Linked DNA regions of Rhinolophus ferrumequinum. The protein of the gene in region 3 purifies or fractionates together with the protein of the main gene of each other region. This does not show direct contact. Links are inferred from orthologs where the notes say so. Each region holds a gene or a part of one and is shown on either strand. Other genes may lie near its edges.

The links.
Region 1: the proteins of ABI1 (region 3) and CYFIP2 purify together in Homo sapiens (co-immunoprecipitation; 4 studies listed by BioGRID and IntAct, with this or other methods). This does not show direct contact. The link is inferred for Rhinolophus ferrumequinum from reciprocal best matches to the Homo sapiens genes ABI1 and CYFIP2.
Region 2: the proteins of ABI1 (region 3) and EPS8L1 purify together in Homo sapiens (co-immunoprecipitation; 4 studies listed by BioGRID and IntAct, with this or other methods). This does not show direct contact. The link is inferred for Rhinolophus ferrumequinum from reciprocal best matches to the Homo sapiens genes ABI1 and EPS8L1.
Region 4: the proteins of ABI1 (region 3) and WASF1 purify together in Homo sapiens (affinity purification with mass spectrometry; 6 studies listed by BioGRID and IntAct, with this or other methods). This does not show direct contact. The link is inferred for Rhinolophus ferrumequinum from reciprocal best matches to the Homo sapiens genes ABI1 and WASF1.

What each region holds. Positions count from the first base shown.
Region 1 is NC_046307.1:27,467,697-27,475,286, reverse strand, and holds the start of CYFIP2 (cytoplasmic FMR1-interacting protein 2), read right to left. Parts: upstream 3,018-7,590; 5' UTR 2,876-3,017; intron 2,818-2,875; exon of another isoform or gene 2,454-2,817; intron 1-2,453. UniProt on the Homo sapiens protein: Involved in T-cell adhesion and p53/TP53-dependent induction of apoptosis. Does not bind RNA. As component of the WAVE1 complex, required for BDNF-NTRK2 endocytic trafficking and signaling from early endosomes.
Region 2 is NC_046298.1:48,320,523-48,327,993, forward strand, and holds the start of EPS8L1 (epidermal growth factor receptor kinase substrate 8-like protein 1), read left to right. Parts: upstream 1-4,466; 5' UTR 4,467-4,543; intron 4,544-5,125; 5' UTR 5,126-5,163; coding exon 5,164-5,180; intron 5,181-6,417; coding exon 6,418-6,458; intron 6,459-6,832; coding exon 6,833-6,891; intron 6,892-7,471. UniProt on the Homo sapiens protein: Stimulates guanine exchange activity of SOS1. May play a role in membrane ruffling and remodeling of the actin cytoskeleton.
Region 3 is NW_022680355.1:11,066,789-11,074,655, reverse strand, and holds the start of ABI1 (abl interactor 1), read left to right. Parts: upstream 1-4,862; 5' UTR 4,863-5,075; coding exon 5,076-5,192; intron 5,193-7,867. UniProt on the Homo sapiens protein: May act in negative regulation of cell growth and transformation by interacting with nonreceptor tyrosine kinases ABL1 and/or ABL2. May play a role in regulation of EGF-induced Erk pathway activation. Involved in cytoskeletal reorganization and EGFR signaling.
Region 4 is NC_046286.1:62,591,262-62,598,230, reverse strand, and holds the start of WASF1 (actin-binding protein WASF1), read left to right. Parts: upstream 1-3,963; 5' UTR 3,964-3,982; exon of another isoform or gene 3,983-4,449; intron 4,450-5,150; exon of another isoform or gene 5,151-5,291; intron 5,292-6,969. Other genes in the region: CDC40 (pre-mRNA-processing factor 17), read right to left, coding at 3,256-3,444.

The DNA.
Region 1 (7,590 bases), on a different chromosome or scaffold from region 3:
GGCTCTGGAGGTGGAGGGGTTGGTAAGAGCTGTGGGTTAACTACACACATGAGCTATATTGTTAATGATTATGTCATTAACACATTTAACAATATATAAGTGTAAGAGTAGATGCTCTGCTGAGCACTGTCATGCATCTCATTTAATAAGAGCATCCAGTGAAGTACCAGCTCCTTCCCCACTGCTGCCGGCCTGCCACCTTCCCACTCAGCAGGCAGCAGCATGTTCCACCCTCGTGCCCGGCCTCTATCACTAATGCAGGGCCCATCCTCTGGACTCCAGACGTGGATTTGCTCCTTAGAACAACGAGACCAAAGGCCATTTACAAAGGCTCCACTGAGGTGACTGAGGTCTGGTTTCGTCAACTATAAGAGAATAATTAATACTTGCCAGTAAAAAAACAGACTCATTGTTATGGTGGCCACATGCAGGCTATACAAGGCCATTTTGTGAAATTCATGGTGGAACCCAGGGGCAGACAGAGGCCAAAAAAACCCCTCAAATGTGGAGACTAGAGCTCTGCACGTTTTCCAGGAGCGCTGTTCCCAATGTTAATCAGCTTATTGCTTATTCATCACCTAATCCCACTCTCTGGTCAATGACAGCAGTGGAGGCCCACGGAATGGCCGGAGAGGGCACAGTTTATCAGAAGGGACATGTGATGTTCTTCTGGGACCTCTCCCAGTTTTGAAATTCATGTCTACTTCCTTCTCTGGGCCAGCCTGACTTGAGGAAAACTCTTCAATCCTATTGGATTTTATACCCCCCTCTTGGCCTCATGCCTAAAACAAGTTTTTCCTTTTCCATTTCCAGCAGGGACTGAACAAGGCAGGCTTGGGTGCTTACAGAACCGGTCAGAACTGGCCAGGAAATATAATAAAGAAGCTTAGTGAGCCCAGAGCTAATGCCCGCAGCCAGAGGCTCATTGTGCACAAGCAGCCAGAGGCCCTGGCTTTGTAAGTAACAACACACTTTTCTTGTGGCCTAGTAACTATCCTGGCAGATGGCAGCCAGTGCCAACAAGTAATTCTCTATAGGAAACTTTCACCTCCCCCATGTGGACATTGGGCGCTCAACAATGCTTTGTAGTGACCGAACCGATGACCGGTTACTCGGAGGATATTTTTGCCCTGGGGGCCAAAGCTGCCCTTGCAGCAAACAGAGCTGACAGCTGCGAGATATTGTCATTTCAGGGAGCTGTTCCACAAAATTGCTACCCAGCTCCCCACTCCGACTTCCAGTTCACTGCTTGAAATTCCACCATTAGAGGTATCAAGTATTTGACCTAAAGCTTTGTTTCCCATTAAAATGCCTCTCAGCTTCTATTTCCTTTCTGGTCAAAGGACATCAAAGCACCTGCTCCGCGTGGAATGGGAAATTCTTTTGTATTTAGCTCCTGAGGATAAATATGGTCACTGGCTCCTTTCTCGAAAACAAGGAGACTGGGAAGCACAGGGCACTGTGTGGAAGTGGAGGTAGGAGGCCTCAGGGAAGGTAACAGAAAAGGCTAATGCTGGAGAAAACAAGCTGCCCAGGGATGTGGACCTAGATTTTTGCCCTCAAACATCTGTGATCTTCAGGGTTGCCAAAAATCTTCCAATATGGCCTGTGCCCAAGAGGAAGGTAAGACCCCCTGACCCCCTACTCTAAGGGGACACAGGTAGGAGGTTTTTGGAAAGGGGAGTGTGGGAACCAGCACTCTCCGGATTTGCCCCTCATGCCTGCAGGACTGCCCCAATCTCCCTGCCCATTCCATGCCAGCACAAGCACCCAGGAACTGGCAGGTAAAGATCCTTGTCCCCTTCCTGGCCTGTCTGGAAGGGGAGTTGATGGCCATCAGCCCTTGGTGAGTGTTTCTGCTGTGCCAGGGAAACTAGGCAAGCAGAGGTCAAAGTCAGAATCCCTGGGCTGGGGAGGGCACCTGGGCAGGCTGTGCCCTTCTCTAGAGGTTCTCTGTATAGAGAACCATACTCTTAATCAGACCATGCTTCCCGCCCCTACTCCTAAACAGAAAGCACCCCCTTCTCTTGCTTTTCACATAGGCGGTGGTGTGCACTCATCCAGGGGGAGGGCTGTCCTGAAAAGCTGAAGCCACCACAGACAGGTAAGCATCGTCCTGATTCTTCAGATCTCAAGAAAAGCCAACCTTGTCCCCAGCAGTCAGCCCACTCATCCCCCTCCTCCTCGTCCTTCCCCGCCCCCAGCCATCCCCGAGGAGAGCGCTGCAAGCTTCGGCCAGAAGGCTTCAAAGCGGGTCAGACGAGCCTTCTCTCTCATTAAGGCCTCCACCCCCAAACATCGCCGCTTCGCCCCTCGCCCCACCCATCTCAGGTTCACCGCAGGGCGCTGGGTGCCTAAGGTGGCTGCCAGGCGGGCCCAGGCGGCTCTTGCTAGCCCTGGGGGAGGTGATGGTGGCCGCGGCGGCAGAGGCGGAGGCTGGCGCTCTGCAGTACCTGGGCGCCGGGATGTCGCCACCGCCAGGCTCGCGGCCGCTGCAGGTGTCTCCGGTACCCTGGATAAGGGCCGCTCCCTCTCCGGCCCGCGGCTCCTGCCCAGGCCGCGCACCTGCTGCTGCTGCTGCGGCCGTCGCGCCGGTGCCCCGGTGCCACTCCTTGAGTCTGCGCGTCCCTGCAGGGGGTCCGCGTCCCGGGGCCCAGGGTAGGCGGGAGGGGAAAGGGGACCGCGCGGGGCCTGGAGCCCAGCGATCGGGGCTTCCGGGGGCCCTCAGGCCGCGCTAGCGATGGCGCTGCTCCGAGCGCCCCCCGTAGGCTAGATGAAGGGGTGCCGGCACCTCGCGCATCCTCAGGGCTGCATCACCGTCTCCAGCAGCATCCCAGTCCCCGCGCGGGCCCCAAGGCCCGCGAGCGCCGCTTACCTGGGTCTGCGGCAGGTCCGATGGAGCCGCCTGAGGATACCGCGGGGCCCCGCGGCGGGGCACAGGATGCTCTGCCGGGCTCCGCTCCACCGGCCGCCGCGCTCGGCCCCGCCTTCGGTCCCGCCCCTCCGCCCGCTGCTGCTCCTCCTCCGCCCCGGGTGCCCGGCCTCCTCCCCGTCGCGGCTGTCACACAAAGAGCAGGAAATGGCTGCGGCGAGGGGCTCCGGGTGCGCCCCTCAACGCGGCCGGCGCATCCCAGACCTGCACCTCGGGCTCCCGCCCCAGTCCTGCCAGCCGCCCTGCTCTGGGGATGGAGAAAGGAGTGAGGACTGGTTCCTAGGCCCGCATGCCTGGGAACCACACCTGCAGCAGGGGAGGACCGCAGCTTTGGGCTCCATTCGGATCTCACTGATAGCACAGTAGTTCCAAGTGCTCTTTTATCTATCTAACGTTTATCCAGCACCTATTTTATTCCAAGTACCGTGCCAGGAGCTGGGTATGCACTGGTGTACAAAAGACAGGGTCCCTGCCCTTTTGGAGCTTTTCACCTACCAGGCGACACAGGGCATGCATAAATTAACCTAGCAAATGTCCAGTTACAGCTGAGAGAAGTCTTGTGAAGGAAAGGAACGAAGTAAAGTGATAGAAAGAAAACCTGGGGCTTGGGGAGAGGGACCGTCTTTCTAACAATTGAGTCTGCTCTCCTCAGTTCAAGAATAACCTCTGGCACTCCTTTTCAGTCCCTTAAAGACGAATCCCCGAAGCTGCCATCTCTTAAGCAGGGACATACTTCAACTTCATTCAGGGAGAAGTGCCTAATGGACAAAAAGGAAAATATATGGTGACAGGAAGTAATTCCTGGCAAAGCCCAGGGAGGAGCTAAGTAAGAGAACAGGCACTTTCTTCAAGGCGGAATCTGCTATTTAGGACTCTCCAAAGAAATGGTTCCACGTGCATGCAGCCTGATGGATCTTCAGACCAGGCTGAAGTAAGACAACCAAATCCTAACCTTGAAGCAACTCCCTTCACTCTGTTCCTGAGATGCCACCATAGCTGTCAGGAGCCATACCTACCTTACAGGGTAAATAATTTGAAAGCATTTGAGACAGTTTAGGAGTATACAGATTGAAAGGATAAAGTCCTGTTAAAAGAGAACTATTCGTAAATGTTTGCTGAGGGCCCACAAATTTATCCTTAACACTCAGCTCTTCCGATCAGGGGCTATTTATAGAAGAGCTGTATTACTCAAGTGATTCTACAGAGCTATGGCAGTCTTTGCCCGCACTGATCTCACACCATTTCCCAAGTACTCAGAAATCATGATCCTCTGTGGTTTGTTGTTAAGATTACTCATTCTAATTTAAATCTAATTTAAATTGCTGTTTTAGAAAGAATAGCATATATATGTATAAGCATATATATATATATATATATATACACATATATATATATATATATTTTGTGTGTGTGTGTGTGTGTGTGTGTGTGTGTCCCTGATGACATGTGAGAAAGCTGTGGGGGTGTTTGTGGAGGATGGCATTTAAAAAGGAACTGAGGTTTCTTTTTTTTTAATTTTTTTTTTTCATTTTCCACTGTGATCCTTGGGATTTTGAGTGTCAGTGATTACAAAGATGTAACAATGAAAGAATGGATTTTCATTCTAAATAGAATATTATTTGGAATGTTGTAGATTTCTGGAAAATGTATTCCTCCCTGAGGTTCCTTCCCTGTCTTTTCACCTTTTAGGAGCAATTGCTTAGAAACAAAAGACACGATTACCTATGTATTTGGTTGGATCTGAGGCAAAAATAATTCTCTAACCCCTGAATTATATTTGCTTATAAGGGGAAGCAATGTGATCTTTTTGAAACCACGGTGTTGGAAATCCAGAAGCTTGCCTTTTGGTCCTAGTTTTGCAATTAAGTGTTCTTAGGCAAGTCACTTCACCTCCCTGTTTCCCCTTCTATACAGTGAAGTAGGTTGGATACACTCCAAGGTACTTATGAATGTGGAAAATCACTTGAGTTAAAACAAAGGACATGCCCTTGCCATGTTTAAAGCACTTCATTAGCTCCCCAGGCTCTAGGATGGAGCCCCAACTTCTGACCATGGCCTGTGAGAGCCTTCATGACCTGGTGTCTCCCTCCCCTATGAACAAGCTTGCTATGCCTCAGCTAAAAGGAATCTGTTAGTTCCCCAAACTTGCTGTGTTCTCTGTTGCATGTGGCCTTTGCACAAGCTGGACTTTGTGGCTCGGAAGGATCTGACCTCCTTTCCCTTCCCCCTTCCACACTTTACTCAGTTTGCTGCCGAACGTCTCTCCATCCTTCTGGTATCTGCTTAGACATCACTTCCTCCAAGGTCCCTCCATGTCTGGGGTAGCTTAGGGGTAGCCGTCTAAAGGTCCCTGGGCTTCCTCTATGTACCACTTGTTATGCTATGGTGTCATTGGTGACATCTTTGCCTGCATCCCACCATGAGAGCGTGATCACAAGTAGCCTGTTATTTGATAGAGAGATATTGAGGACGGTTTTGCTGTTGAAACACAGCTGCTCCATCCTGGGCCTTTTAGAAATGCATCCCTCCCCTCACTTGACTCATTTCCCACACCTTCTAGAGAACTGGTCTCCCCGGAAGGTCAGATCTTGAACACACAACTCGATAGCAAAGAACATTTCATCTTTATTTAAACAAATACTTTTTACAATAATTTTGGTTAAGGCCTGAGAAGGAGGGTCTGAGCATATTCCGAATGGACTTGGAATGTGAAAACCTAGCTGAGGAAATGGGGTCGATGCTGCTGTATTCTCAGGCCAGCACAGGCGGCCCTATAAGCAACCCCACAGAGTGGTTGAGAGCCGGGAACTTGGGAACAGACAGCTTGGTGTCTGTATCACATATCTTGCTCCCCCCAAACCATTCCATTCTTCTCACCCTGGAGACTGACCTCTCTACCCTCTCGGGTTTCCTTGTCTTCTGGCTTCCACTTGGGTTTGGTTAACAGGAAGCCCCAACAGTCGATGGGGTGAAAGGAGAGGGAGTCAGTATATTATTTCCCTGGCTTCCTTCTTTCGATGTTGCCTTGGGAGTCTTCTTCTGTCAACGCAATCTTCTCCAGGTGATTCTCTGCTTCCACGTTCCAACGATCGCTCCCTCTTCTGTCACTTCAGGCCTAGGGGTGGTAACTGCTCCTTAGCTGTTATTTTCCTCTGGACCACCTCCTATGCTTCTCTTAAACCTGACCCATGCGGTTTGAAATAGGCCTTTTGTAAATAAGCCCTGCTTGAATTATCTTCATGTGAGTGTGATATGTTTGGTTCCTAACTGATATCTTATTCATCTTATGCACCTAACACAGTGCCAAGCAAAAGCCGGTGAATGCCAACTATTTATGAAATAAATAAAAGGATCTCTATAACTCCTTCTAACAGTATCTGTATGGTTCTGTTATTTCCCAAGCCAACTACACGTCATAACTTGGGGAGAAGCTCAAAGTCATTGAAGACACACACACACGCGCACACACACACACACACGCACACACACACACACACATGTTGCTGCATGTAGTGTGTGCTTTGCCTCTTCCTCAGAGCGGTGGGCCTCAGAGTGCTGGAAGATTCCAGAGAGAGTAGGGTCTGCAGGATAAATGCTCTGCGAAGCAGATCTGTTGGTCCAGCCCCCTTTGGAAGTTTCTTATCTGGACCGTTTGCCAATGGGAGTGAAGCCCAGAGGTGAGTTCCACAAAGGACTGCCTGGAAGCCACAGGCCTTCTCACCATGCCTAATGGTCCTCTGGTGAATAAACTGGCTCCTGAGTGGACCTGGGCGTTTGGTGGACTGAAAGGTACCGCGAGAGCTCAACACACCCAAACTCTAAAAACCCAGCTTTTATTTCACAGGGATTTTAAGAGGAAGGGGAACAGCTATTCATTTCTGTGCAATTGTGACTGAAGAATTCCAAATTACAATTTCCACATGTCACCCACACAGCAGATGACAGTGAGTGAGTATGAACAATAATCTGGTACTAGGAGCAAGACAAAAACCATCTCCAAGTTGGTTTCTCTTCCACCAGCTTTGCCTCTCTCAAATGCACTCACCAGGCCTCTGCCAGAACATATATTTTAAATGCAAGTTTGACTCTCTCTCCTTGCTCAATGACATCTTTTCTATCTACAGGTAGAATTCCAACTCTTTTTGTCTTTTAAAACATAGTCCTTGCCTAGACTGACAGCCTCAGTTTCAATTTGCCTACCCCTTCTATCATACTTACCCTGGCCAAGACCACACACACACACACACACAAACACACACACACCCTTTATGCTCCAGCAATGGTAAACTGATTATAGCTTCCCAACACATTCTATTTCCTCTATCCCTCTGTCGGGAAAGTATTTATCTTATTTCTGCCCACTTGCTTGTCTTGAAAAAACAAAACAAAAAACAGAAAAAGACCATAATTCATCTTCAAAACTGAGTCAGACATTATATCCTCTGACAGTGCTTCCCAGACATCAGTGTACATATGATTACCTATGGATCTAATGGAAATGTAGATTTTCGTTCAGTGAGTCTCAGGGTGAAGCTAGAGAGTCTGCATTTCCCAAAAGTTGGCCATGCTGCTCTTGCTGACCCAGGGACCACACTTTGAGTAGCAAGATTCCAGGAAGTTTCCCCTGACATCATACTTGTTTATATGTCTGCCTAAGA
Region 2 (7,471 bases), on a different chromosome or scaffold from region 3:
CCGGCTCTATAGCTGGCAGGCCTCAGAGGGACTCCAAGGAAAAACCTACCCTAATCCCTTTGCCCAGGGAGGAATTTCTCTGGACTCCCACACTGCCTGAACTACCTCCATGATGGCACATTTAGGCCAGCCCATGCTTGCGTCACCTCCCCAGCCAGACTGAGAGCTTCTTGAGGCTCAGGCTTGGGGCAAACCCATCTGAGTTGGCGTTTGGCCAGCCTGTCGTTTGCTTTTGTCGTTGTCCTCACCAACATGATGACTGTCCTCATAGCTCGGTTTCTGGCCTCACCTCCTGGAGCCAGCCACACCTCCTACAGACTTTCCTGGTCCAGCCTCCCCAAGGTATTCCCTTGGCCGGAAACCCTCTCTCATTCTCGAAATTCAGGTCAAAGGTCACATGCCACCTACCTCAGAGAGGCCCTCTCTGACGACCCCACCTGTAGTGACCACACCTGCCTGTCCCTTGGTCAATCCCTCTCTTTACCTTTGTTTCATTTCCTCCATAGCGCTTACCACAACCTGAAAGTCTTATTCACGTATGTGTTCCTGCCTGTTTATCTTCTGACTCCCCACTACACCCACTAGGATGACAAAAACACAGGGGCAGGGGTGTGCTCTGCCCAGCACTTAGAACGTGCTTGGCACACAGTAGGTGCTTAAGCATCTGCTACTACATGACTTTGGGACATCGCATATGCCACTCCCCATGCTGAGAATATCATTCCTTCCTGTATCTTCCCTGGCGAACTCACATTTATCCCTTCAGAACACCGTCTAGTTAGCACTTAACCAGCGAAGGCTTCTTTGACCGCCTCACATACGCATCACAAAGCTGGCATAAAGGTCTCCTCTGGGGATACACAATGCCCTGTGCCACCTCCATTAGTGCACATGTCACTGTGAATTGTGACTGTAGGTGCCAGCAAGGTCTATTTTCCCAGTGAGACTCTCTTCTTGAGGGGAAAGGGTGAGACACTAATTAGGTCTCAGGAACCATTTACTGAGTGAATAAATTAGCAACAAGTGAGTAAATCTATCTCCCTGAGACCCAGCTCCCATCCTTACACCCTCTCCCAATGACCTGTCATACCTCTCATTTCCCAAGAATTTGACCTCGCTCCCTGTCCTATGAATTCATCAGTAAATCCTCTTGTTGGGTGCGTGTGTGGGGGGGTGTGAGCCCTGGGGGAGGAAGGTGAGGAAAGAGATGGGGGGGAAGAGTGTCAGATACGACACACAGGGCATCTTAGCTTATGAAGCCCCAGTGGAGAAGTCTGTTTGGTTCCCGGGTCCCCTCAACCCAGAGAATAAATTAACTAGCCCAGTTCGCCAGTTTGAGGACAGAGGCAAACTCAGACCCACAGTCCTAAAGCTCACTTACTGAAGGATGCCATAAGGACGGAATGAGAAGGCAAGGGGGTGGAAAGGGTTGTGTTCTTAGGTGCCCGGTTCCTCCCACTGGTAAGTCTCCAAGACAGGGGTTCACTGCCTCCTCCCGGGACTTACTGAGTCAGGCTGTGCAGGGGTGGGAGCCCCCACTGGTATCTGGGAACCACTTACTACGGTTTGGAGAGAGGGAGGGGCCTCCTTTGCGGCCACAAAAGGAGGAAGGAGCTCCTGGGCCCGGGAACTAGGGCGGGGGCTCCGGTTTCGGTGTCTCGTGCCGCTCCAGGCCGCGCGGAGAAGGAGGGCGGAGCCTGGGAGAGCCTGCGCCGGGCCGGCCCTCCTCCCTCAGACCTAGAGTCCCGGGCCCTGACTCCCACCGAATGCCTCTATGAGGTCAGTTTCTCCACCTGCATCTAAAGAAAGGGGCTTGCGATCAGCTAAATATGCACTTGTGTCACAGTCCGGGGGTACTGTGACCTTGGGCTCGTGGTTTTCCCCACTCTGAGCCTTTATCTGCTCCTCTGTCGAAGGGGCGCCAATCCCCCCAGTCAGCCTCACAGAGGGTAAGGGGTCTGTTCCTTCCACCCCCAACCCAGGTAGGAGCTCAGAAAATATTTGTGCCATGGATGTGACAGGGACACAGAGTGACAGGAGCTGGAGACAGAGACACACAGAGCCCTCTCCCTGCTGCACACCTAAGACCCACCCGCCCGGCACTCAGGTACGCCCAGCGGGCATAGCGCCTTGGCTCCTCCACCGCGGCTCCACAGCTCAGGCAGCTCCCTGGCCTGGAACACTCCTCCCTCCCTCATCCTCTAGGCCACTTTGAGCTGCCAAACTTGCCCTTCAGGTTCAGCTCTCGCTGCCCCTCCTCCAGGAAGCCTGCCCTGCCTCTCTTAGCAGCCTCTTCTGGGCTTCCACAGCACCCTTTGTGTCCTCCATTATAGCACATACCTAAAGAAAGACCATCATCTCTGTCCTTGTAACATTCATCAATCGTTTCCTCTTTGCCAGGTCCATAATCTCATTTAATCCTCCCAACACTGTGATCACCATTTTACAGTTAGGGGCCTGGGGCACAGAGAGGTTAAGTCATTTGTCCAGGATCACACAACTAGAAAGGGGCCAGGTCACAAAGTAGCAGTGCAGGCTAGCACCAAAGGATGCTGGGTCTAAATCACATGGCCTGGATTCAACTGTATCCATCAAGTATTATTAGCTGTGCGATTGCAGACAAATTACTTAACTTGTATGAGCCTCAGTTTCCTCATGTGTAAACGGGGTTCATAGGACCTATTTCATATATTGTTGTGGGGATTATACATATACACACACAGATATAATGTACTCAGAAAAGGACTTAAGCACACAAAAATTATTAAGTGGCAAAGCCAGAACATGAACCCACACCCCTGGACTCTGCCATCACACCACACCATATTATTGTCTCTTTCTCTCTGTTCTTTCATCCCCTTCAATCTAGGACAAGTATGTGTCTTCTCTGGTTTCCAGCCTCACTCAGCATAAACTGTGAAGTCAACACGTCTTGACTGAAACAATGAAGCAATAATGCACATGAATGCACCAAGTACAAAAAGCTCATTAATTCAACAAATATCTCACTTACTCTGTGCTGTACCCTATTCTATATGCTGCACATAGAGTGGGAGTCTGAACATACCCTTGGGAAGCTTTCATTCTAATGTGGACACATATAACAAACAAAAGGAACACCTATTCCATAGTATGTTAGAATGTGATAAACGCGCTGAAGAAAAATTAAGTACAAAGCAGGGGAAGAAATGAACAAGGGGAGGGTAAGAGATGCTGCAATTTTAAATAGGATGGTTTGCCAGGCCTCTCTGAGAAGGTGACATTCGAGCAAAGACTGAAGGAGGTGAGAAGCAAGCCATGAGGCTGTCTAAGGGAACAGCATTCCACGAAGAGGGAACAGCAAGTGCAAAGGCTCTGAGACAGGATGGGGTCTGGGAGCTCAAGGAGCAGCACGAAGGCCGGTGTTCAGGAACAGAGTGATAGGGAGAGGAAGAAGAGGAGATTAGAGTAGTGACCCTTAAGACCCTACAGACCTCAGCTTTCATACAGAGAAAGGAGAGCCACTGAAGGATTTTGAGCAGAGATGAATTTGACTTGGGCTGACTTTTGGGCTGACTTCAGTTTCTATGAAGTCCCTGCACTGAAACTAGACTGAGGGAAAGGGAGCAGGAAGACCAGTTTAGGAGGCAGGTCCATGTGAGAAATGATGGTGGTGAGAACTAGGTGGGAACCACTTATAAGAAAGAATAAAAGTGGGCATGTCCAGCCTCCTGCTTTCGGGGAGGTCTGAGCTTTGGCAGCTGACGTTCTCATGCATTCACTGCAGGAGTAACCTTGGGCATGGCTCTTAACCTTTATGGTCCTGTTTCCTCATCTGCGAAATGGAGACCCCCTCACCTCACTGGGTTTGGGAAAGAAATGATGTATACATATACCTCGGTTTGCAAGGACCTTGGTACAAGGAAGTGCTTGAAAGCAGACTTTATGCCTGAGGAACCTGCTTGTTTTTTGCGATGTACCTGGAGCTGAGTTGAGTCTTAGCCATCAGCATCATCATAGGGGTTTATTGAGGGAAATTTCCAAAGAAAGAGGAAAGAGGAGGGATGGGGGTCGAGGGCACCCGTGGTGATGGGAACTGTGGACAGGTGTGCACAGAGCAGGGGATGACACTGGCCCTGGAGATAGAAAAACAGCCGTGGGTTCAACGCCCATCCTTCCACATTGACCGCCCCTCTCTTGAAACATGAACAAGTAGAAATCAAACCTCCGACTTCCAGAGATATTAGGAGAATTGGAAGGGGGTATTTGAGACCAAGAACAGGTAGTGTGACATCTAGGACTGTTGTTATTGTTCTACTGTTGTTGTGAGGAGACAATTATGGTTCCTGCTCCTCTGAGGCTGTCCCAGCTGCCCCTCCCCTTCTTCCCCACCCTGGGTCCTTCTGCCAGCCCCGCCCAGGGGCCACTCCAGCTGGGCTGTGCCAGGTGAGTGCTCAGGTATGCGGAGGCGGGGCAGCCCGGGGAGGGAGAAGGAAGGAGGGGCCCTTGGTCTGGAAGGGAGAGCAGAACGGGGCCTCTCTGCTGACAGAGCCTGACAGGGCAGGTGAGGAGGGCGCCCGGGAGAAGGTCTGGGTCTGAGGGAGAAGGGGCTGGAAGGTGGGGACTCCTGGGTCTGGGGGAGGAGGAGCATGGGCCTGGACTCCTGGGTACTGACAGGAAAGGCTGCGGGACCCAGACTCTAGAGTCTTGTAGAGGTGAGGGCTGAAGATTGGGCCCCAGTCCCTAAAGGAAGAATATAGGGTCATACGGACTGAGGAATTGGATGAGTGGTTCTCTGAGGAGACCCGGGCTCAAAACCCTCTGGTTCTTAGGAATGAGCAGCTTGGAGCTTAAACTGGGTCCCTGAGAAGATAAAGCTGGGAGACTGGATCCTGGATAGAGGAGGAAAGTGGGATACACATAGATTAGGAAAATGAATGCATGGATTCCTGAAGGATTTGGGGGCCAGTGTACTAGGTGTGAAAGAGGAAGGGCTGGGGGCCTGGACTCCTGGGTCTGAGGGAGGAGGGGCCTAGAGTACCACGTCTGAGGGAGGAGGGGCTGGGGGCCTGGACTCCTGGGGCTGGCCTGGGAATCTTAGGTCCCGCAGGTCAGGTCAGGCCTCACCTCTTCACTGGCTCCCAAGGTGCCTCCAGGCCGCAGGAGCTCCCCATTCTGAGCACCATGAGCACCACCACAGGGTAAGTGCCCCCTGGCCACCAGGCCCCCAAGCCCACCACACCTCTCCACCCTCTCACCCGTACCTGCCGGTGGCATTTACAGCAGCCCAGATCTGGACACTCAGAAGTAAGTCAGAGCTGCCTCCTTCCCTGTCTGGGCTGTAGTTAGAGCTCTGCTCCAGAGCAGACAGACCTGGGTTCAAATCCAGATGCTAACACTCAGAAGTGGTATGACCCTGGCCAAAGGACATCTCCTCTTTGAGCCTCAGTCCCTCCTCTGTGAAACAAGGACAATTGTGAGAGCTTGATGGGATAGTGCACATAGAACTTAGCAGAGAACTTGATTAACAGCAGGTACTCAGCTAATAGGAACTGCTATTGCTGTTGTTATTATCTTATTATTAAATAGTGACCCTTTGCTAAAAAGTCAGACATGTTTATAACAAAGGCTCAAGTCTCCTGGAGTGAGCAGGGAGAAGGACAAAGACAGACACATGGGAACAGGTGCACAGGAGATGTGACGTAGTAAGTTCTCCAGGCCAGAGGTAATCAAATTGTGGGGAGATCTGACTGGCAGGAACAGAATGAGAGGTGGAAGTTTGACTGAAAGGGTTTCTTATCCCTCATCTCTGACCTCACCTGAGCTCCGAGCTTCTGTTATTTCCGTGGAAATGGGGACTCAAGAGTTCTTGGAGAAGGTGACCTTGAAGAGGGGGGTCGAAGGCAGGAGACAGAGAAGGATTTGGCTGGGAAGAGCCTGGCCCGTTGCGGGTGGGAAGGGAAGAAGGTAACTCTCTGTCTACTCCGAATGCTAATGCTATTGTAAAAAATCCCATTTATTGAGCAACTACCACACAGTTATTGAGGCTGCAAAACACTTCAACTGCATTATCTCATAGAATTTGCCCAACAGCTCTACCAGAGGGAAGCTGTAGGGTAATTAACCCCTATCTTACAGAGTAGGAAACTGAAGCAGGAGAGGTGAAGTCTCCTACCTTGGGTCTTATGGCAAGGCAGTAGTTGACGGGGGATTCAAACCCAGGTCCCTGTGACAGTAGGGACCACACTCACCAACACCACCCAGTACCACCACCTCACCTGTCTTAGTAATGTCCAGCTATGCCCTGCCCTCCCCTGCTTAGAATCCTCCGTGGCTCCCCAGTATCCTCAAAATGAAGTTGCTGCTCTGCTTGGCATTTGAAACCCCCATGATCTCCCAATTCCCACAGCCCCTCTCACCCCTGTTTTCCTTCACCAGCCCAGAAGCTGCCCCCAAACCAAGTGCCAAGTCCATCTATGGTGAGTTTTCAAGCAAGGAAACCCCAGGCAGAGAGAAACAGGATCTGAGGAGTGAGGGAACTGAGAACATGGACTCCTGGGTCTGAGGGAGGAGGGGCTGGGAGCCTGGACTCCTGGGTCTGAGGGAGGGAGGGCCGGGGGCCTGGACTCCCAGGTCTGAGGGAGGGAGGGCCGGGGGCCTGGACTCCTGGGTCTGAGGGAGGGAGGGCCGGGGGCCTGGACTCCCAGGTCTGAGGGAGGGAGGGCCGGGGGCCTGGACTCCTGGGTCTGAGGGAGGGAGGGCTGGGGGCCTGGACTCCTGGGTGTGAGGGAGGAGGGGCTGGAGGCAGGGGCTCCTGGGTCCATCCTCCTTTTTTCCCCCACACACCCCACAGAGCAGAGGAAGCGTTATTCAACTGTGGTTATGGCAGACGTTTCCCAGTATCCAGTCAATGTGAGTCTGGGGTCTGCGTTGCCACTGGGAGTCTTGTAGGATGAAAGGAGACTGGGGTGTTGAAAGCAGTTGGGCCTCCAAGTAGAAAGAACTTGGGAAACTCAGTTTGCTCACCTGTGCAGTGAACTTCATCTTGCCTTCGACATGGGCATCAATGGAGGAACTCAATTCCACTGGAATCTGCCAACTTTTCCTCTGGACCAGCTCTTGAGCTGGACAGTCTGGCCACAGGGACAAATCAGATGCAATCCTGGATGAGTAGGGGGCAGACAAGGTCCACAGGTACAGCAAAGGGTGGCAGTAGCTTTAATGGAGGTAGAGGTGCTTAGAAGGGACTAGATATAATCAAGACCATTCCCTGCTTTCAAGGAGCCTCCAGTCTAGATGGGAAGGCAGACCCAGGTGTTAGTCACTCTGATGAAAGAGAAATAAAGGTCATTGGGTAGAAGCATCCATAGGTGGAGCAGGTGATCAGGGAAGGCTTCCCAGAGGAGGTGCGGGTAGTCACAAGCCTGACGGCTGATTCCAGGGGATGCTAAGCCCACCTGGCATCATCCGGGGACTCACTGCTTTCTCGGTG
Region 3 (7,867 bases):
AATGGCATTGAGCACCCTTTTGTATGTTTGTCATTGTGTATCTTCTTTGGCAAAGCATCTGTTCAAATCTTTGATCTTTTTTAAAAAATTCAGTTTGTTTGTCATCCTATTATTGAATTGTAAGAGTTCTTTATATATTATGAGTACATATATTATGAATACAACTCCTTTACTAGATATTTGTTTTGTAAATATTTTTCTTCTAATCTATGGTTTGCCTTTTCATTTTTTAATGATGTCTTTGAGGAACGGATGTTTTAAATTTTGATGAAATCCAATTTATCATCTTTTTATTTCATATTTCATGTTTTAATGTACTTTTTAGTTTTTGCTTAACCCAAGTGCACTAAGATTTTCTGTTAAGTTCTATTATAGAAATTTTATAGTTTTATCTCGTTCATTTAGGTCTATGACCCATTTCAATTAGGCAAGGCCTTTTGGATCTCAAATTAAAATATCTTCTAGAAAATAGTTTGAAACCCACATCACTGCACAAATAAAGAACATGAACTGATGCACACAATTTGTTTCTACCCCCTTCCTCCCAACTGAAGGAGATACAGATAGAATTCATATTTATTATTCATCCTAGTAACTCCTGGACATCTGAAAATTGTTTAGTTTTCATTATTGTAATTGTATTATGTCCTTGTTTTCATCTCTAATATTGGTTACTTGTGCTTTTGTTAATTTTATTGTTCAAATATTTTATATCAACTTTTTGCTTGCTTCTTTGGTCTCTGGTGGACATATGTTAAAATTTTCCATGTATAAAAAATACAAATAAAGATAATAAAAAAATCTTCCATTTATGATCGTTGATATGTCAGTTTTTTCTTGTAAAGGTTTTGCTTTATATATTGATTGGCTGTGATGTTGGCTCATAAGAAGTTATGCTTACATCTTCTTGATGAGTTGGTCTTTTTATTATTATCTAATGTCCTCTTTATGCTTTGTAATGTTTTTTGGCCTTGATGTGATTATCTTGACATTATTATTGCTATAATAGTGTTGACCATAAACAAAAGACAGCCAGATATTTCTCCAGCAAAATGAGTTTATTTGGGAACAACAAAGAATTGCAATTTGGTACATGTGGTGTGATGGTGAACCACATGCAAGTCCAGAGAAACAAAGGAGAGAAAACTCTTTTATAGAGAAGAGGAAGTTGGGAAAACGATTATAAACAGAATTCTTCCTGTTCTGCTCCGCAATCCACTTAGGATGTGGCCTCCCAACTTCATTTTAAATTAGGTTTCTGTTCATTCATTTTTACAAGTTTCCTTTAGGTTAATATTTGCATGGTAAATATGTTGTTGTCCCTTTATTTTGATTAGGCTTTGAAATGACATTTAGCTGGGTTTAAATTCTAGGTTTAGTCATTTTCCTTCAGCGGTCTCAGGATATAACTTCCTCATGTTTTGTATCTATTATTGTTGAATAAGAGCTTACTAATTGCAATTCTTTTGTAGAAAAATCTGTTCTCTCTGGTAGTTTTTAAGATTTTTTATTCTATCCTTGACATTCTAATAACCAGTTATTTTATTAATTCAATTACGACTTACTTTTGATGTTTAAACTTTGCATTTAGATGTTTTTGTCTTTTACACTAAAGATTCACTGAGTCACATCAATTTCATTTCAGGATTTTATAGACTTTGTTCTACTGTTTTTTTGACATCTATTGCAAAAGAAAAGGTCACCTTGATACTTTTTCTGTTGACGGTAACCTGTTTTTTTCTACAGAAGATTCCTTTATTCTTTTATCTTTAAAGTTCAATAAATTTGCCAAGAATTTTTCTTGGCAAATTTTGTAAGTTTTGTTGTTGATTTTGTCTGTTGATTTTCCCTTTTTGTAGATGAGATTTTAAAAAAATACTATTTTTTCTTTCTTCATTTTTAAACTGAGGTATAACATACAGTAAATTATGTAAAAACGCACTGCTTTTAAGTGTACGGTTTGATGATTTTTTTTTATTTACATATGTACCCTTATAACCACTAATCAGATAAAGACATAGAATATTCTTAGTGCCCCAGATTTCCTTATATTGCTTCCCAATTTATCCTTTACAATGGTTGATTACTATTCTTAATTTTTGTCATCATTGATTACTTTAACCTTTTTTTGAACTTCATAGACATGAAATCATATGGTATGTACTCTTTTTATGTCTGCCTAATTTCACTTAATAAAGCAACTTTCATCCATGAAAGTGCATCTAGCAATGGATTCATCTATGTTGTTGCATGTATCAGTAGTTTGTTCCTTTTACTGCTGCATAGTATTCTATAATATGAATATACCACTATTTATTTATTTTTTCTTTTGTTGATAGGTCTTTGGGTTGTTTCCATTTTTTGGCTCCTATGAATAAAGATGCTATGAACATTCTTGTACATATCCTTTCATGCACATATTACTTATTTTTCTTGAATAAATACATAGGAGTGAATTGCTGGGCCTTAAGGAGGTGGATATTCAGTTTTAATAGGTAGTGCCAAAGCAAATAGTCACTTCCAAAGTGATTGTACCCTTTTATACTTGTATACATATACATAACAACATATATATTTTTATGTATATTTTATGACACACACATATATATATTGGGTTGGTGCAAAAGTAATTGCTGTTTAAAAAGTTAAAAATAAATGCAAAAACTGCAATTACTTTTGCACCAACCTAATATATATCCGTGTGTGTATGTTTATGTGGGTGCTAGATGTAATACATTCTTACCAACACTAGGTATCGCTGGTATTTTTTGGGGAGGTGGGTGGGTGGGTATCTGGCTTTTTTCATTTAGCAAAATGCATTTGAGATTCATTCATGACTTTGTATGAATATATAATTTATTATATTTAATTGCTGAAGAGTACTCGATTGTTTGGATGTACCAGTTTGTTTATCCAGTAACTGGCTGACGGACATTTGAGTTGTTCCCAGCTTTTAGTGATTATGAACAAATTTACTGTAAACATTCACATCATGATATTTCTGTGAACGTAAGTTTTCATTTATCTTAGATAATACCTAGCAGTAGGATTGCTAGATTATAAATTAAGTATGCTTGGCTTTATAAGAAACTACTAAACTCTTTTCCAGAGTGGCTATAGCAGTTTGTAGCCAGTAATGTTTGAGAGTCCAGTTACTCCACATTTCACTAGCACTTGCAATTGTCAGTGTCGTGCGGGGCGTCAGGCGGGGTTTCTGGTCCCACTCCCCACATAAGAACGCAGGACATGGTGAAGCCAAAAAGGAACACCCACGGAGCCATAGGTAGGGGAGTCACATCTCTATACTCTTGCTGGCGGCTGGGTTGGAGACACAGGAAACAGGAGCCACACAATTCTCAACCCTCACTGCGCCGCTTGCAGACTCAGCCACCATCTTCTTGCTAGCTCCCCCTTTTTTCTTTTTGCTACTAGCCTAGCCACGGCAGTTATATTCATGGCTAATGGCTCACTGGTTACAGCTGACAGCCAACTAGCCACAGCTGCTGGCCATTTGATCACAGTTGATGGCCATTTACTACCTGAGCCAGCACCTTTCTATGTGAGGCTGAGAGCCTGGAAACTGCTTTTTGGGGCTCTGTCCCCACAGTCAGGTTTTTAAAATTTTAGCCCTTGTAATGGGTGTGTAGTGTAATCTTTTAAATTTTATACTACATCCTGGTAGAGTGTGGCGATTATGGTTTTATTTTGTACTTCCTTGATGACTAATGGGTTGAGATCCTTTTCATATATTTATTGGCCTTTTGTGAAGTGCAGTTGTCTTTTTGTCCAATTTTTTTTATGGGATTGTCTCTTTATTGACTTGGAGTTTTTTTTATTATTTTATTTTGGATATGAGTCCTTTGTCAAATGTATATGTTGTACCTTTCTTTTCCCTTTTTTAATAGTCTTTTAATGAGTGTTTTAATGATGGCTATAGTAGACTGACTAATGGCCCCACAAAAATGTCCATGTCACAATCTCTATACACTGTGAGTATATTACCTTACGTGGCAAAAGGGACTTTGCAGATGTATAATAATCCAGTTAAGGATCTTGAGATGGGAAATTATCCCGGATTATCCAGGTGAAATCTATGTAGGCACAGGGGTCTTATAAGAGGGAGGGATGATGGGTCAGAGTCAGAGAGAGATTTGAATGTACTCTGCTGCTGACTTGAAGATGGAAGAAGTGGCCATGAACTAAGGAATGCATATGGTCTCTAGAAACTGAAAAAAATCAAGGAACGATTCTCTACAGTCTCTAGAAGGAACAAAGCCCTATTGACACCTTAATTTTAGACAACTGACTTCTGATGTCCAGATATGTAAGATAATAAATTAGTTTTGTTTTATTACTAAATTTGTTATAGCAGCGATAAGAAAAATGTCTTCATTTTATTAAAAAACAACTTACCAATTTTATTAGTACTTAACTGTATCCTAGTTAAGAAATTTTTGCCTAACCCAAGCTTGTGAAATTACTGTTTTCTTGCAGAAACTTTATTATTTTACCTTTTATATTTGGACCTATGATATATCCTGAACAAATTTTGGAGCATGGTGTGAGATAGATTCAATGTTCAAAGTTCTGCCAAGTTTCACAGGCTTCTCCGGAAAACAGTTTCATTCCGGGGAATCACACTCTGGCGCCATCTCCCGGGGATGTCAGGAAACTCCGGATTTAAACCACCACCAAAGGTCGACGTTCTTAAATTACACTCCCTGGGGTTTTTTTTCCGAGGTTCCCTGGACGCATGCGTTTTTGATGGGAAGCCTGGCCTGTGAAAAACTACAATTCCCAGAAGGCCATGCCAAAAGGGGGCGGAAATCTTGTGGTGGGGGAGGGGGAGGGAAAAGCATGAAGACTCGCGAGAGAAGGAGGTTGAGGCAGCAGTGCGAAGTGGGTGGAGGTGGGTGGAGAGAGTGAGGAGGAAGAAGGGGAGGTGCTGTCCCACAATACCAGGCGGGAGGGCGGGTAGGCGGTTTGTATCCGGGCTGTGAGGTGCTCGGAACCTCCGCGGACCTTGCTGTTTCTGTCTCTTTAACGCGAGAGGAAGCGATGCGGAGGGGTGGAAAATGGCAGAGCTGCAAATGTTACTAGAGGAGGAGATCCCGTCTGGCAAGAGGGCGCTGATAGAGAGTTACCAGAACCTGACCCGGGTGGCGGACTACTGTGAAAACAACTACATACAGGTGAGGAAGCGCGGGCGCGCGGGCGGGCGCTGCCTGGCCGGGCCGAGGACCCGCCGCCGGCCGCCCGAGTGACCAGCCTACTGGGCGGGGTGGGGAACAGCCCTAACCTCCGCGGCCGCCTCAAGCCCCAGCCCCAATCCCCAGCTGGGGACAGAGCAAGTGGCCGGGCTCCGGGAGTCGGGCTGCGATACAGGAAGTGGCTGTGGTGGTTGAAACCGATAGAAGGGGAGAGAGAAAATGGGCGAGGGAGCAGGGAACCCGCCGCGGCCCGGAGCCCCCCTACCGTCCGCCTCCCTGCGGGCTCAGCTCCCCGAGTCGCGCTGCCCCCTCGCAGCCTGCCGGTCGCGAGGTTTCTGCCTGAGACCCAGCTGCCACCCGGCCGCCTCTCCGCCAGGCGAGGGGTCTACGACCGAGACAGAGGGGAGAGGAAAGGGCAGGGACGAGGCACAGGGAGGAGCAGCAGAAGCGAGAGGAAAAGCGGGGTGTGTGTATCGGGGGAGGGTAGGGTGGGGGAGATTATGTCAGTTCAATCCAGAGGGTGTGTCTTTTATTTATTTATTTAAAAAAATTTGTCATGAGTCACATTACACAGACCTCCCCGAGGAGAGGAGGAAGCGGGTGGGGAGTGAGGGAAGACGTCTAAGAGAAGTTAATCTCAAAATTCCTTTGATTGAAGGTTTGTAAATTTGCCTGCCTGTCCGTTTTCAAGTCGGGTTTCTTCCCTCTCATCATTTTCACTTCCACCTCACCATAACGTATGTCTAGAGGAGGTTCCAGCTGTCGTTATTATAAAACACAAATTAATCTTAACTACTTGGAAAAATGTCTTAAATACTGTCGTCCCCAAAAGTTTTTGAACTGTTGGTTTCATAAAGTAACTTAAAATAGAATGGTGTAATCGCCCGATGCTTATTTTTTGAAGGTTTCTCTTACCAATATAAGTGAATGTATAGATTCTAAATCCAAATCGGTTACAGAACATACTTAGTTTTAGAACCATAACGTAAAATATTACTGTAAATTTATTAGAAAATTCTTGGGGCCTTAACTATGACAGATGCTTGTTTGTTTTTATTTTAATGATTGAAAGTGAATTATGGTGTGATAGTTTGGTTTGTAGGTCTTTAACTGCATAAACCAACAGTTTACAATAGAACCAAATAAAGTACCAGAATCCTTTCTATCAATATAAGGGCACCAACAATTCACTATTTAGTGGCAAAACATGGCCAAAACGTGCTTTGAAAGGTTAGGGTTATTGCAATTCAGAACTAAAGTATTTATAGAAATTCCTCCCATGTGATTGTCATTTTAAAGAACCAATAGTTTCTGTGTTGGCAAATGCTTTTCCTCCTTATTTTTAGAAGGAGATACTGTTTTCAGAATATTCTGAATATTTCTCAGTTTCCATATTAGTAACATTATATCTTCAGTAGCACTAGTAGGAATTTATCTCAAACTTTTTCAAGCTTTTACTTTAGGAATTCTGATAAACTTGTTGAATGCCTGCCACGTCTACTAAATTTCTTGTTTTTGCAAACGTTATATTTAGCCTTTAAGAAATAGTCTAAAACCAAGTAGAAATGTGGATATAGTTTTCAATTAGAAAAGTTACCTTGTAGTTTATTGATATTAATACATACAGCTTTTATTCAATTTAACATAAATATTAAAATTGAGGTGAATCTCAATTTACTGAAGATTTTAAGGACTTTGAAAGTCAAAGGGAGAGCACAGGAAGTTAAATTGCACCTATTCCAGAAGTCATTTCTTTGTAGAAGTCAGCAGATAGTACTTCACAAAGGGTGGCTTCTTTTTGTTTTGCATGTTGGGAAATCTGACAAATACATGATGTGGTAACTGCTAAGTGTTGGCAAATGCAAACGTGTTTTAACCTGTCTGGTGACTGTTTTTCAGGTAATTGTCTGCTGTTGTAAGGCTTTTTTTTTTTTTTTCCTCCCTGACCCCTTTCCTTTTCACCTCCTGCCACCATCATGTAACTTGGAAGCATTTTTAAACTTCTTGGTAATATCCCTAGTTAAGATAAGTCATTTTATTCTCATGTAGTCTCTTACTTTTAAACACGTTAGTACAGTGGTGCAAAGAACCACTATCAGTGGCCCAAGATTTTTTTTTTTTTTTGGTGGTCCTAAATTGACACAAGTGCGGTATTCTGATCTTACTGGGGAAAAAGATGTTTATCTTAGTAGCCTTTAAACTTTGGGGGGCATGATGCAGGCCATTAGCTAGCTGCCTTCCTGAGGCTCAGACAAGGTCAGGCTCAGACAGGCTTAGAAGATGCTGAAGACTTTGTAGGAGAAGTGGTAGCTGACTTTGTGATGTGCTGTGCTGCTAACTTTGGTGCTGTGAATAGGGAACAAAAGTACTAGTCGTACCCATTTGGGTGTCTTTTGAGATCTTTCTGTATCCTTTCTGTGATCCTGATTGGGTTATAATGAACAGCCTACGTAAATGTACCTCCTCTCAGGGAAAGTATGTGGTGACTTGCGTTTTGAGATTTTTTTTTTTTACCCAAGATGAGTTAAGTTACTGCCTGGGTGATTTTTATCCTGAGAATTCAGTTTTAATTTTGTTGTTTTCCTACATTTTGGAAGTATAGTCCAATTAGGTTAAGGTGTTTAGTTGACAGGTTCTTTTGGCTCTAGTGCAATTTG
Region 4 (6,969 bases), on a different chromosome or scaffold from region 3:
ACATTAGGTTCATACGAATTTAAAATTGCTATATACCTCTTTGTGAATTAAACCTTGTATTTGAGGAAATGATTAAAAACATTGCACGAGCTGCCAAAATTCTTGTTATTAGTCACAATACAATTAGTCAAATACAGATGAATGTATCTGCATGCTTTACACACCTCCCTTAGTCACTTTTCTATCATTACATTTACTATGTGTAAGTTTTTTTTTGCATATAAGGAGGAATTGGTTCACAAACTAGCAATGATCAATGTCCGTTACTCTATTATCATAGAGCCTAGATCACTGAGAGGGTCTAGCCCCAGCTCTGCTTCCAATGGACCTCTGGGACCTAAGGTAACCTCTCCTAGATTTTCTTGAAGTGATTGAACTAAGTGAGTTCTAGAGACGTCCCCTCACCCCTACCCAATCAATATACATCAATTCTCACTGTACATGCTTTTCTGAAGATCATCTTTTTTACCTACTCTTTCACTCATTTTCTCACCAAATATATTTCCCTTAATCTTCTGTAATAGGCATTGGAGACATGAAAGAGAGCAGATGCAACAATCTCTGGTTCCCAGGGCCTCACAACAGTCCAGGGAAAAGAAAAAGGTTAACAAATTACAGCAATGTGGTAAGTGCTATAATTGAGGTATAAAAAGGTGCTAAGGTAAACAGAGGAGGAAACGTGCATGAGACTGAAGAACAGCAGAGTTTGGTTGGGGAGGCGGAGAAGGAAGGCACGAAGCAAGCAATTTCCAGGCAGAGAGATAAGTTTGGGCAAAATCTTAAGAAAAAAGAAAATAAGGCTTTTCAGCCTTTGCAGAGATTTCAGCGTGGGAGAACGGCAAGCATCATATGTTACACAAGGAACTGAGAAATTACCCAAAAGGCAACATGGTGTCTTTGGGCAGGGAAGTGATATGATAATATTGGATTTTAGAAAGATCACTCTGAGTGCACTGTGAAGGAAAGAGTGGGCTATGGAACTGGGGGACAAGAGCAGGTAGAAAGACTAGTTAGAAGGTTATCATCATCGTCCCGAAGAGAAATGATAAGAATCTGAACTAAAAGGTGACAGCAGAAGAGCAAAGAGATTTGATTAACATCATGGCACCATAATGGGCAGGACCCACTACCCAAAAGTAGCGGTGTTGAGAGAAAGTAAAGTCAAGAATGACTCCTGGGAGAAGTAAGGAAGATATGAAGCCTGTGTCAGTGAAAATGAAGAGGAAGGAATTGATTTGAGAGAAATGAATGAAGCAGAAATGTTAGAACCAGATGAATGACTAGCTTCAGGGGCTGAGGAAGAAGAAAGAGAAAAGGAAGACCCCTCTATTCTTGGCTTAGACTAATGGATGGGATCATTAATCAAAATGGGAAAAACAGGTGAAGTAGATTTTGAGAAAAAGAAAATGCATTAATTTTTCAGCACATTGGAATGGAGGTGCCTGAGAGCCATTCTGAGAGAGAAATTTAATCGTTTGTGCAGCTAGCAAGGAGTTTACAATTGGAAATAATGACAGTAATACTTTACATGCTTTATGACGTCTTATGACTCCAAGAGTGTTCCCAAGAAAACTAGGTTGCTTTGAGTTAAGGAAAACACGTAGTGAAGCGGGAGAGCTCCAAAAAGCTGAGCTGTGAAAGGAATGAAGACTCCGGACGTTGCTGAAGGGGTTTAAGTTTGGGGGAGTTTGTTTTGTTATAAAAATAGGAGGATTCTAAGCATTCTTACCAGCTGTCCATTAGTAAAAACGTGAAATTTACAAGTAGCTCATTAAACAGGGGTAAAAGACTTAAGTTATTAACACTAGACTTGGGAACATCTTAAATACACAGGAATTTTTGCACACTGCCTCCACTCACTACATCTTGAGCTTCTGATCACCCCCATTAGGTTCTACGGGGCCTACACTATCAGTTGGTGGGTGCTCTCCTTAGGCTCTAGACACTAATCTTTCCTCAGTTCTTCAAACACAGGCAACTGCTATCTGAAGGGTTGCTGTCTCCTTTGTTTGGAAACTCATGCCTTCGTTTGCACACGGCTGGCTTCTCGCTTTTTCAAAGCTGCTTTTTCAGAGAGGACTTCCCTGACCAACTTATCGAAGTCATACTCCCACCTTATTCTCTATCACAGTACTCTATTTGTTTCCTTCACAGTACTCAATCCAATTTGTAACCACTTTATTTGCTCACATTTCACTGGCTGCCTCTTCCACTAGAATGTATGTATCATGATGGCAAAGATGTCTGGCTTGTTGGTTTCTATGTCTTCAGACCTTAGAACAGTTCCTGGTAAATAACATGTGTTCAAAGAAATATTTGTTAAATCAACTATATAACCCAATTTCTCCCTCTATCACCTTTCTCAGTTGGGATCATGCAGCATGCTGGTTCTTAAATCCAAGGGCTTTTCTCACTGTGGACATACCAGGGGTGCCAAAAAAATGTATACAAGTGGACACTTTGGTCAACGTTGCTCAAGCAGTACCTAGCTAGTAATCAGAAGCGTCTGGATGCTGATGGTAACCACTCTGAGCACCTGTTGTAATTGCAAAAGTCAAACGTGACTTGTATTCATCTTTTGTTATTGGTATGTATTATTACAGTTTTAACAGTTTTTTCCTTTCTTAAAGTGTGTATACATTTTTTTAGTACCCTTGGTATATAATCAAAAGAGCTAACATGCATTGCACTTTTAGTAGATACCAGGCTCTATGCTATAAGCTTTATTTGCATTTCACTTCATTTTCACAATAATCCTCTTATATAGATAGGTGCTTTTAAAAAATCTCCATTGTACAGGTGAGGAAACAGAGGAGGTTGTATAACTTGGCCAAGTTCACATAAGTGGTGGAGCTGGGATCAAGATCTAGTTCTGACTTCAAAAACAAAACAAAGCCCAGCCACCACTCACTTCAAGTGAGGGCGCATACTCTAGTTTGGGAAATCCTGAGTTAGCTTTTCTTATGTTGTGAGAGTACACACGCTCTATCCAGGCCACATCCTAATCCACAAATTCAAATTTCACTCCCTATTCCCACTTGGTTTCTGATGGCGGGAGCGGGGAGCAGTGGAGGGCTGTCCTGAACTTCCAGCCCCCGGCTTCTCCCAAGGAAGATGCATGTGGGAAGAAGAGATCCAAGAGTTAGTGACGTATCTCTCAGCACTGAGGAAGAGATAACCAGGAGCCTAAAAGTGACTGTCAGATTTTGGAGCAGAAGCCAATTCCCGAACCGCATCAGAGGCAACAGCGCTTACCTTAACTGCCACCTCCGGAGCCGAGTCCACCGCCACTGCCAGAGACGGTTTGGCGGAAGGCGATTTAGTCAAGTGCATGAGGGAGTCGGCCGCTGGCAGCGGACACCGTCCGCTCTCACTGTCCGAGTCCGATTCGGACCCTGAACCCGAACCATAGGAAGCAGCCAGAGCCGCAATCGCAGCCGACATGACGGCAACAGAACTTCGGCGGAGACCAGGCCCCGGCGGAAGAAGAAGCGGCTCCCAGGTCCTGACAGATTGCCATGGCACACATTATTTACTTCCTTTGCTACGATAATTTATGACATTTTAAATAAATTAATAATGTTATAATAAGTACAACATAACTGAGAATTTGGAAGCATTTCTCTAAGGACATAGAGAGAATTATAATAGTTTATAACTTTCAGGACCTTCTGACTAAATTAAAGACTACGAGTTCCTATGTACCTTGCGGCCTCGAGGTCCTACACTCCCGGCGAGCAGCGCGACGGAAAGTGGGAGAGGCACAATGGGAAATGTAGTTTGGAGCAAGGGGGCGGGGCGGGGCGGGCAGGCATCTCTTTGACCCCGCCCCTGAATTGATGGTTCATTCAATTGGCTACCATCTTCCCTCATTCCCTGGCTTAGCACAGTTCTCTCTGTCCCCCTCCCCCAAACTGAGGATTGGGCTATACCATAAAACCTCAGGAAAGGGGGGAAGATTGATATTCATACCCGCTGATGAGTAAGTGGACGGAGGCTGAGTTTTCCACCACCGCTGAACCGAGGCACTGGGGGCTGAAGAGGATAGCGAGAATCTTAAGTGGGAAGACCCTGACTGGGGGGGTTATAGCTCCTGGTGGGAAGGATGGGAGGTTAGTTGGCGAGTCTAGCGGTCCCCCCTGCTTCAGGCGTGGGTCCCCGCGCCCAGTTGTGGAGAGGAGCGCGCGGGGAGGGGGCGGGTGGGGGGCGGCGGCGGCGGCTCGCGGTGTTGTTCGCTCGCGCGTCGAGCATACTGTGGGTCCGGCGACCGGCGGGCGCCGCAGGCGGCGTTCCCCGTGGCCCCATCCCTCGGCCACTGCTCGGAGCGGGTTCCACCCGGGAGCTTACTCTGTTGGAGGCTCTAGGTGGAGTCCCGGGAGCTGAGGGGGACCGGCGGCTGCCGCCGAAGCATGAAAAAGGGATAAGGCAAGAGCCCCCCAAGGTTTCACGGTGAGCGCGAATCTCTCAGGAATTGTTTTTTGGGGGGAGAGGGTGCTGGGGAGGAACTCTTTCTCACTGGCCAGAATGGAGAGTGGTGGTGTGGTGCTCTAGCCCGGCAAAGGTTACGGGGATGGGCGCGCCTCCCCCGCGATGGCCCCCACCCCCATTCGCGGGTTCCAGAGCTCCCGCCGCCCACCCGCCCGCCGGGCTGCGTGCCGAGGGCGACAGCGGCCGGCGGGCGCGCAGGGGTCTCGGTTGCAGGGACCGCCTGAGGCTGCTCTAGGTGGGGAGACTGCAGGGCTCACCTGCGGTGCCACCGCCTGAGCGCCCGTGCCCTGCACCCATGGTGCACCCCCGTGTCTTCTCGCTCCCGGGGAGGCTGCAGCACGGGGTGGCGGAGAAGCCCCTTCTCGCGCTACGTGCCGGGCTCTGTAAAGCAAGCTTATGCGTTTGCGTGTTTGCGCCGCGCTTCTGTGCCTAAACACATAACGGTAAAGCGAGTACCGGGAACCCTTTCTTCGCCTGAAGAGAAAGCGAAGCGGGGCGGTCGCCTCTGATGCCTGTTAATGGGGGGGTGCCTCGGGCAGAGTTAGGGAGCCGCTCCCTGGGCTTCAGTGTCGGTCGGACTCGCCCATTGTGCCACCCAGATAATTATTCAACTATGCAGCATCCACTGCACCTTTCCCATTTTTCTTTTCCCCTGGCTACAGCATGCCCCCTAGCTTCGGTACTCTGACGCCTTCTCTTGCACTTGCGGATGAGGAACTGGAGTAGTGATGAGAAGAAAGCACCCTGACCTGAACATTCACAACCTGCTCTATAGCCGATTAATTAATCCCCAGCTAGACTAGGTACATTAAAACGACTTGGTCTAATGCTGTCCTTTTCTGAATAAGGCGTGTCTTCGATTATATTTTAAGTTTTTTCTTGGGTGTTGGATTCACGTATTAGCTAAGTCTTATTTCTGTCCAGTAATTTATGTAGTTGATTTATTGGTTATTCAACCCGTCTAATGTTCTTAAATTTAATTTGTATGGTAGGTAACTTTCATTTTTCTAACGTTGATAGCGTTATATCATAATTACAAATGCAGTTTCAGTCTTTGAACTCTCAGGAACAGCTTTTCTCATGCTCTAAGTTTGTTAGGAAAAGTATTTTTATTTAGGTCGACTATTTGAATAAAGTACATGATATAAAAATTTTCAAGTTTTGAATAAGAAAAGTTTTGTGTTGATTTTCAGTAACAATATTTGATTGCTAATCATAGCCTTCAGTTGAATGAAAGGAAGCATTTAATATTTAAGATGGGGTTTAACTACTATAATGTGCATTCGCTAATTTATCTAAATTTTATTTTTTATTCAGTTTTCTTTGCAATATCATGTATTTAATTATTTGTTACAGATTTTATTTTTATCATTTTTCTAACTTCTGTCTACAGGATGGGTATTTTTGCATGATCCAAATGAAAGATGAAATATTTTTTGAAAATGGAAGAAACAACTGTTGGTTACTTGCTCTTATGTTAAAAACTTTACATCTCATTATTTTAAAATAAATGATTCACTACCAAATATAAGTGTTTTCTTTTTGTTTTTGTAATTCTCCCTTTCCAGCTCTTCTTGCTTAAGCTTGTTGCCATAACCCTCTTGATAAAACCGAATTGCACATAGGCATTGCAGAGGCAGTTGTTTTAAGGTACAGTAATTGTTTTATGGCACTTGGAAGTGGCGCACATACAGTATAATTTGATGGTGTAAGATCAGTTGCTTGCTTAGAAAATGACCTTGCAATTTACAAAATGGACACCTTTGTGCCTTGGTTTCCTTATATGTAAGTGGAGATAAAAAATACCCATTTATTCGATAAGTAGCATGTGTAAATTCAGTAAAGATGTTTGCATAATGCTTTTAAAGAAAATTGGAATGTTTTAGCTGATGAATGATGACAAATATTTCGGTGTAAAACAAAATGAAAAAATGTCATTGGGATTTTCCGTGACATGTTAGAATGGCTGATTTATCAACATTGGATTTTGCTTTGGAAAGGTATGGCCTTAAATTGAAGATTGTTTCCCATCCATTAAGGGTTTTTAATAATTGCAAATTCAGTAGGTTTTATAGTTAATATGTACTTACAAATGTACGTGTAGTTAACGTTGATGAAAAAAGTTATATGACGTAATAAGCAAGTAGAATATTGAATTAAGTTTGCGAAAAATAAAATCTCCAGAAAATATTAAGGCCTTTTTCACTGAAAAACTTGTAGCTGACACAACCCAAAATACATAGTTGTGCTCATTTGTAGGTATGACATGGTACTACTTTATTTTTCAGGTTTGTAAATAACCATATATTCAGAGACAATGTCTGAATATTGTGTAATACTATACTTATACATTTTGCTTTATTTTCATAATACTCAGGTCTATCATTTCCAAGTACTGATTTTCATTATCACAGCTTTTGATTTCTTTATTGAAGGATTAACTCAGTTAATTTTCATAGCAAAAACTTAAAATATTAATAT